2 linked regions of the Daphnia pulex genome follow. The protein of the gene in region 2 purifies or fractionates together with the protein of the main gene of each other region. This does not show direct contact. Links are inferred from orthologs where the notes say so. Each region holds a gene or a part of one and is shown on either strand. Other genes may lie near its edges. The genes, in order: segment polarity protein dishevelled homolog DVL-3-like and vang-like protein 2.

Region 1 (4,593 bases), about 790 kb from region 2:
TTACCCGTACTAGAACCGCTGCTGCTGGATGACCCATGGATTCCTGGTCCGACGGGATTTACTGCGCCTAGCAGAGAAGGTGGTTGACTTCTGTCTCCACCCATCAGTCCACTGCGTACGTCGGATCCACTGCTCCCTGTTTGTTATTACAACGTCAACATATTTGAAGTTCGACTTTCACAATACAGTTTGTAAGGATTCAATTAATCGAATTTGGAGGGTTACCTGAACCACTGTGAACGCTGCCTTCTCTTCCATACGTAAATGTAGTACTTTGTACAGGCGCCGATCCGAGGGGATCACTGCTGTAGCTGTAAGGCATGGGCGCATAACCGGTTGGATAATAAGGTATGTGAGGGGTAGCCCCACCGGCTCCTGTAGCACCAGGCCCACTACCCCAAGGAGTCGGCAACGGCAACGGTGCGAGCGTGTCTCTATCGGCTTCCGATGTCGTGTCATCAGTCAGGCGAAGAGCCGAAACACCTACAAGATAAAACCCTTTCATCAAACAAAATATTCTATAACCCGATAAGTCTCAAATGTCAACTCACCCAAACACAGGTCTCCGAACACGTAGTAACATTGTTCAGAGAATGTGTACTTGTTTACTGTATGTCTGATGTAACCGTTTCGCAGAAGCTGGGAAGCCAACTTGCGGGCATCACGCCGCTCTTCTAGTCCTTGCACGCGATTGTGAAGCCAGTCGACCACTTCTGATCCAATAAACGCACTTGGAATTACAATTTTTAACCAAAGGCGATCTCTAACTTCAAGTCCGGAATCTGGGCGCGCCATCGCTCGCACAATTGCGAGCATGTCTGAGCGCACTGAAAGCGGTTGGGCTTCTTCAACTGGACCTGTGACAAGTAGTACTTAGTCAAAAGTTCTTTCGGTACATTTTCTACGTGACAACTTACGTTCGGTTTCTGGCATACTCGACATCATTGTTGTGGTGGTTGACGACATCGTCGCCACAGATGGCGGACGATTCGGGTACTGCGTTCCACCTAATATGACGTTAGATTTGTTGTTGGATGCCAATTTATGATTTAAAATACGACAATCACCTCTTGCTGCTTCCGTGTGAGCAACCCACGCACCGGGATCAATAGGGCGAACAGGTTCCGTACGGGGTATAGTGAAATATCCTTTTGGATTAGGATCCCAACACTTGGCGACTACAAGTTTGATTGGGCTGACACATGCAAATAAAAAACACAATGTACTAAATGTTAAGTTGGAAAACAAAAAAAACAGTTATGCTTACCCAGGTTTCTGGACAACTTCTCGTAAAACGCGAACGGCATCGTCATTTGACATATTTTCAAAGTTAATATCATTGACTTGAAGGATCATGTCACCAGGCTCGATTCGACCATCCAAAGCGACAGCCCCACTAAATAATAGCAATGATTTTCATTTGAAATTACCACAAGAAATATGTCAGGTTCATCTGTGTTTATACCCTTTCATTATGGATCCTACGTAAATTCCACCATCACCACCTTGATGACTCTGGCCGACGATGGAAATTCCTAAAAAGTTGACTGTGTCCATGTTGAGGGTGACAGTGATTATGTTGAGTGACATAGTGGAATCCGTGATACTGGAGAATGATGAAGCTCGAGATGAAAGAGGAGGGAGGCGGGGACGGCGACGATTACGTCTCCGATTGCGACCTTGGCGAGACACACTAGTGTGATCTGCAAATTTCAAAATATGCAAAATTTTCAATAAATCCAGAGTTATTATAACTTTGCTTAATACCCGTGGTCGTTGTGATACGTGAAGATGCATCTTCTTCAGAGTCAACGAAGCTGGTCGACTCTAAATCCGAGCTGATCATAGAAGAGGATTCATATTCGTGTCCAGCTCTGTGTCTCATAGCGTTGTGGCCATTTCGAGGAGCTTGAACTAAAGAGACAATCGGATGTTAATCGAATATATAGTAAGATAAGACATTCTACATGAAAATTTAGTGAAGCAACAATCTACAAAAAAAGCCATGCTAACAAACTCACCATCAAAGCGATCATATTTTTCATAAGTTTCACGATGCACACGGCCAGAGCGGGGCAATATGTGCCTCTCTTCATGGCAAAACATAAAGAACAAAAGAATTGCAGAAGATAACGAAAAATGAGATGCAACAGGACAAAGGTAAACACATAAACATAAAAATACAGCATAAGGAAATAAAGTTTACCACTGTGTCTTGAACTAATGACCGATTCTGTCTCAGTAGCTGTTGTGTATTCCTCAGCCATACTTCTGTTATGGCCAGGGCTAAAATCAAATGACGAGTTAATTACCAAACTTTACAAGCAGTGAAAATTTGTAAAGAAAAAACTCACTGGAAAGACGGTGGTCTCCCATCAGTAGTGGCAGTACTCTCAGCACATTGAGATACAGAGTCTGAAATGCTACTTTCAGCTGATACTAGCTACAAAGTGAAAGAAACATTAAGACATCTTAAAATATTCATCAATATAATTTAACTTGTTACGTTTACCCATGATATGACTCTTCCATTGAAACATGGAAGGTGAGCATCGTCATCAACAATTTCTTCCTTGACAACACTAGAAACATAAACAATAAAGAGAAAACAATGCTTACACTTGCATAAAAAAATAACTACATGGACAATTATCATGTAACACGTTATTGCCACTTGACAACAACAAAAAAAAAACGAGAAAAACTGGTTTTACCCGAAATCGTCGTCCATTGATTTGAAGAAAAATTTGTAATTTGGACGATTGAGAACATTCTTGAAATCGGCTAGGGTAACTTGATCGGGAGATATTGTAAGTTTAACAAGATAGGGAGTTTCTTCTTCGTCAATGTGGTAAATAATCTTTGTTTCCGCCATTAGGAAACTGCGTCAAGAGTCAACGACAACAAACCAATCGTTTTGACAAGATTACAAAAACGGGTAGGGCGTCAAAAGTTACTATCTGCGCAACATGAAGAGGACTGAATAGTGAATACAGACTTTTCCCCTTTCCCTCAGGCTGTTCAATATGGCGAGGCTTAAAGTCTTGTGAGCCTCCAATTGGGCGTCCCGGTTTTCCCAAAAAATATTAACGTCAGCCGACAGATGGTTTTTCCGACCCGCTATCCACAGCGTAGCCATCTACTGCTCACACTGCACACTACTTGCTTCAAATTCAAATCTGGCAAAAAGGGGGGATCTTCAAAAAGGGCTGTTGTTCGTGATTTTTGTTTCATTTAAAAAAATAAAATAGCATATAACGTTGAATAACTCGCTAACGGCCGTGATATATTAATAATACAATAATCATTAATCATGGTGAATTGGTGATCTTACTATCGTATCCATAGTAATATAATATAATATATATTAATATTTATTCATAAAATAATAATTAATATGTATTCTAGCTTTGGTTATCATGTAAGCTGTAAAGATTCCTTAAATTTTCGATTGCTTTTAGGTTGTGGTATCATGGCAAAAGGGCAGCAAGCTAGTAGCCAGTAGTGATGTTTCGTTAGTGCTTTTTCTAAACGTTAGCGTTATCCGTTAAGTTAACGATGTCTCATTTTTTCACGTTCGTTAACGCCGTTAATTAACGCCGTTAAAAATGTCTCCGTTAACGAAAATTCGACGTTATTTTTACCGTTATTTAATAAAAAAATTGCACTATCAAATCACTGAAATCAGTCACGGTCTTGATTACTTATATTTAAATTGCTGCTGGCGTTGAACAATGTCACAATGAAGCAATGATCAACTAAAAAAAACAGAAACTGCGGATTAAATAAACGCACAGACAAAAGAAAAAAAAACAAGTTCCAACTAAAAAAGTAAAGGCCTCAATAAATCCTTATTGCAAGTGAGGAAGACTTTTGCGGCCAAAACTTCTTCCGCCGTCCTATTTTTGTGTCCTAGACAGTGCCATCCGGCAATGGAAAATTCGCGTTCAGATGATGCCGAAGAAACTGGTATAACCAGTAAATTATAGGCCATTTTGGATAATTAGGGGAAACGACCAGACAAATCCTTCCAGTAAGAGATCACATCTTGAACTGGTGGATCCTTAGAAGGATCAAATTCATGACTTGCAAAGTGGAAGTTGTCTAAAAGTTCAGTTTCAATGCAGTCGAGGGAAGTGGCTAGAAGGTAGGAGCAGTCGAAATCAGGATCTCTTTAATCTGTCATGAAATTAAATCTTCTTTCGAGATCTTCTAACATCGCAGATGCCACGCTTATTCACCGTCAACAGGAGCATCAGAGTCTGAATCTGACATTAAAGATTTACACTCTGATTCTAGTTGTTTCCCTACTCTACTTATACAGTTTCGTTTGCCACGTTTTGAAAGCAAAAAAAAACCTCAGAGAAGCTAAGAAGACTACTGCTCACTGTCATTGGCTATTTAAATTCGTTTTCATAGTCAACCTACTACAGTAAAATGTTGGAAGCGCGCAAAAAATACAAATTTCATTTTGAAAAATCCAAAAATTTCATATTTGGCAGCGCTGTTAAAAACAAAAATAACGTCTGAAAATAACGTCTGAAAAATGCCAAACGTTAGCGTTATCCGTTAAGTTAACGAACCCCAAAAAAG
Region 2 (4,386 bases):
ATATACTGTGTAGCTTGGGAGTCTAGTGGTCGATCCTTTTGTTGTTGTGTGTGTGTCCGGCAGTTTGAAAAAATAAAAAAAATTTCGGGGGGAAAAAATCGGAAGACTCACAAATGTCCCTCAAGCTGAGAGATAGATCCAAAACGTAATGAAATATCCTTCCGGAATGTTGCGTATATATAAGCCAAGCCAAAAAAAGAGAATGGAAAAATTTAATTTTTGGAATATTTTTTGATTCGCTTGTTATCTCGACGGAAATTCTTGTCATTCCAATTTATTTCAAGTTAACGTTGATCCCTTTTTATATTTGATTTAGAACGCAGAAGAATGTCTGTGTGTAAAACTAGGAGCTAAATTCATTATTCTTTGTTTATAATAACTATAAAATACAATAACCGGTGTTGAAAGAAATATTTGGGGTGAAATTGACATCATCTTTTATATCTATCGATAAACAGGTATAACCTTGATGTTAAATGGACGTTCAACTCCTGCGTCAATGATGCGGTTTTCATCACATAGAAAAGCTGCGGTCAGCATCTCTCAAATTCTATTGTGTTTAAAGATATTAAAAAGGTGGGGAGCTGTATAGTTTCCACTGTCTCTCTCTCCTTCATCTAATTCCATTTAATGATTTGGTGTTGTATAGAAAAAATAAAACCAAGAGCCTTATATACTATTATCCAATTCGGATCTGGATGGACGGTGAACCGGACAGGCTCAACTCGAGCGGAACGGACGTATATATATTTAGTGAGACCTGAACTGTGTGTTTCTCTATTACAAGGCCGATAAGAAAAATTTAAAAATATAAAATGGTACACGAAAAAATATAAGCGGATTCGATTTCTCAGAAAAATTGATTATCTCCACTTCAATTGTTTTTTTTTTTGTTTTTATTTTTTTTAAATGTCATTTTTATTCATCCGGAGAAACAAATTTATCCTTTCACCGGTCACGCAATGGTGTGTTTTTACTCGTGATATTTATTTTCGGCTTGACGCCAAGTGTCCGTCTATGAATGTACACACACACACACAGAGAATCTAGTAGAGTGGATATAGTCCGTCTATCCTTTTTTCTTTTCCTTTTCTTTTACGGTTGCAGTTGTGTTTTTCGGGGGTGCCAAAGACCCGACGAGAGTGCTGGAACCCCAGCTAGCACGACTGGGAAAAATAAAAACCCACCAATAGGAACCGCATTGCCACAGGGTACGTTCTTCCATCTTTCTCTCTTTCTCTCCTTTTTTAACCATTCTTTCATTCTCTTTCGTTTCTTTTCATTCCCCCCCCCCTTCTCTCTCCCTTTCCCCGTGTATATATAAATATATGTACTATATATAAAAATACAAAAAAGAGCTGGAAGAAGAAGAAGAAGAAGAAGAAGAAGAGTATGGCGTGGCTTTATCGTGCCGGAGCAGCTCAGTCGAGTGTGGACGCTTAGCCGCAACAGCAGCAGCTACCAGGAGCAGCAGCAACCAACCAACAATTTTTATTATTTTGTTCGTGTGATTGTGTGTGTGTGTGTGTCTGTGTAGATTTTTATTTATTTTTTTTTTTTCCGGTGTACTCGGAGAAGATCTGGAAGAAATTTCTAAGAAATAGAAGAAGAAAAAAAGTGTCGATCTACTACTACACATGAGTGTCGTCTGCAGCAGTGAATCGCTTATATTTCCAGGGAATAATAAGATCAGAGACGATTCCCAGGGATTTCCATTATGGATTATCTGCTTACAAAGTTGTGATTTATTCGTGCGCGTTGTATATGGATTATTATTATTAGACACAATCGATCCGTCCGAAAAAAAAGTCCAGCAGTGCGCACCCCAGCACCGGTGCTGTAGATTGAAATCAGACACCGGAGAGAAAAAACAACTTCAACAGCAGCAGCGACTATTGTGTGTGTGTGGATGTAATTGCACATCATCATCCTGTTTTTCTTTAAGACACCAGCAGCAGCAGCAGAGCGAGGCCGGAACAAACTCCTACACATTTTGAAATCAAATTAAAATATAAAGGTGAGTGTTTTTTTATTTTATTTTTCTTCTTCTAAAATAGTAGAAGAAAGAAAGAAACGCTATTTGTCCAACGGCTGTCCAGCAGCAGCAACACCAAACATTTTTCTTTTTTGGCATTCTAATCCCGGTGACAAGATATTTTTATTATTATATTATTTCTGGCCCGGTGTTTATAATCCTTGCGGCCGTAGTACGGGGATAGCACAAGGTCCCCTTGGCGAATGAAAAGAGAAATGATATAAAAGGACAACACACGACGACGGGAAAAAAAGGAAAAAAATGTTTGAATAGAAAAGATGAAAAGTTACGGCATTTCTTTAATGTCTTCTTTTTCGTCGTCGTTCGTCGTTCGTCGGACGGTAGAAAAATAAAATAAATTTGTTTTTTTCTGCGCAAATCTAAACTGGCTTAAAACGTCTAAATTTGGAGATAAGGCGACTAAATAATAGCTGGAACGATTCGACTGGAGAAATTTTATTTTTTTGAAATGAGAGCAGGTTGAATATAATAATAAAATAGATCTGGTTTTGATTCCATTCGATATATGTTCCATCTGTTTTGTTTTAACAAATAAATGCAGACCGGTAGGGATGAGATGTCGCTGTTAAGTATTCGTGACCCGACGCGGATTGTTTCGAAGGGAAAACAAAACAAAACAAAAATCAAAAAATCTCATTAGTAAGATCTGGTCCCGCCAAGTTTTGAAAAACAAAAAAATCTACAAGGCGACATGGCTAAATGGAATTAAAATCAAAAGGGAAACTAAAAACTGGAAATTCGAGATTTGGTCCTTTTTTGTTTGAAATCTTATTGGAGGGGAAAAGGATATCATCGGGGAGGAGAGGATAGATTAATATATTATTGAGACAAGAAAAAAGAAAAACAGAAAAACCGGTCGATTTATAATGGCTGAACTTGTTTTTTCCTTGACGAAAAAAGAAAATAAAGGGAAAATAAATAACCCATCCTTGTTTGGATTAAAAGAAGAAAGAAAAAAAGTCATTCGGCAGGTTTAGACGTTGTCGTCGTATATATTTTTGTCTTCTTCCAAAATAAAAAATTCGTACTAAAAAAAAGGGGGCTCCGCCCTTATTTATTTTACGCGTAGATAAGAAAAACGTCAGATATTGAAATCTTTTTCTTCTTTCATAATGGCATATCCATTTTCTTGCTTCGTTCTTTCTGCTTTGACGAGAGAGAGACCAATTACACGAATATTTCACCCTGGCCAATCATCCGATACACCCAAAATGGGATGGACGAAAAAATATCTATGCACAAATGAGCTCATTAAATAGACTGAACAGTTTCCCAATATGTCGGAACAGATGGATCCCAAAACCAACCAACCAAAATTCCTTTTTTCTGCCATCAATCGTCTGTGTTATATACCGACAAGAAGATTATCCAGTAACAGGATAAATATATATATAGATTAATTATACCACTCAAGAGATTTATTAGACTCAACTAAATATCTAATACACACAGCGTCCCAGCAGCAGCAGCAGCTCTTGACCAAATATTATGACACCCGTGCTGTTATAGACTCGTGACATTCTCCAACTGGCCCCGGCAACTATATCGAGAGAGATGTTTATCGTAAGAAAAAAGTAAATTCTCAAGTAGTAGCCCATAGCGGAGTCGTAAATAAGTCGGCGCCAAAATTTGAAAAATAATAAAAATTTTTAAAAAGTTCTTCTTTGCGGTTGTATTAGATATATTTTCGGTGGGTTGAAATCTATCAATCTCAACTTTGATGAAAACGAGGGTTGAAAAAACTCGATCTCTTTAGATAAAACAGGAAGAAGCTCTTCTCCCCCTCTTTTCTTCTGCTGGGATGTTAAATAGTAAAATAGAAGAAGGTAATATAATGATGCGGTATGGCAACAGTGGCGGTTCTCCTTGGTTGTCTTGCTGCTGGGCCATTCACCTGTTGTTGTTGGGGGATACCAGAAGAAGAAGAAGAAGAACCGGAGGAACTTGAAAATGTTGAATTTTTTTGGCCCTCAGCTTCCCTCCAGGCTACACCTGGTTCTCCCTTTTCCTTCATTCTTCCTTTTCTTCTTCTTCTTCATTCCATTCGGTTTCAGGGAGGGGGGAACTGTTGCGCGACCGTTTTCTTCTTTTATTACACCCACAAGAAACCTTCTTCTTCTTCTTCTTCTTCTCTTACCTGTTGAGAGAAAAACAAAAGACGGTCTCGAATATGTCTGGCCGATTCGTCGTTCTTTTTTTCTTTCTCCGGCAGCCAACAACAACAACCAACAACATTTTTTCTTTTTCTTCACCAAGACCGCCCGCGCTTAAATGTTGTTTTTCGCGCTCTTCATTTATTTTTTTCAAAAAATATTAAATAAAATAAAAAG

Evidence for each region.
Region 1: the proteins of vang-like protein 2 (region 2) and segment polarity protein dishevelled homolog DVL-3-like purify together in Drosophila melanogaster (affinity purification with western blotting; 3 studies listed by BioGRID). This does not show direct contact. The link is inferred for Daphnia pulex from reciprocal best matches to the Drosophila melanogaster genes Vang and dsh.

The regions. Positions count from the first base shown.
Region 1 is NC_060018.1:12,878,181-12,882,773, forward strand, and holds the start of segment polarity protein dishevelled homolog DVL-3-like, read right to left. Parts: upstream 3,094-4,593; 5' UTR 2,876-3,093; coding exon 2,715-2,875; intron 2,583-2,714; coding exon 2,513-2,582; intron 2,444-2,512; coding exon 2,355-2,443; intron 2,287-2,354; coding exon 2,207-2,286; intron 2,091-2,206; coding exon 2,022-2,090; intron 1,915-2,021; coding exon 1,768-1,914; intron 1,704-1,767; coding exon 1,466-1,703; intron 1,397-1,465; coding exon 1,268-1,396; intron 1,196-1,267; coding exon 1,068-1,195; coding exon of another isoform or gene 1,008-1,067; coding exon 918-1,007; intron 858-917; coding exon 552-857; intron 484-551; coding exon 226-483; intron 137-225; coding exon 5-136; coding exon of another isoform or gene 1-4.
Region 2 is NC_060018.1:12,086,767-12,091,152, forward strand, and holds the start of vang-like protein 2, read left to right. Parts: upstream 1-1,360; 5' UTR 1,361-2,017; intron 2,018-4,386.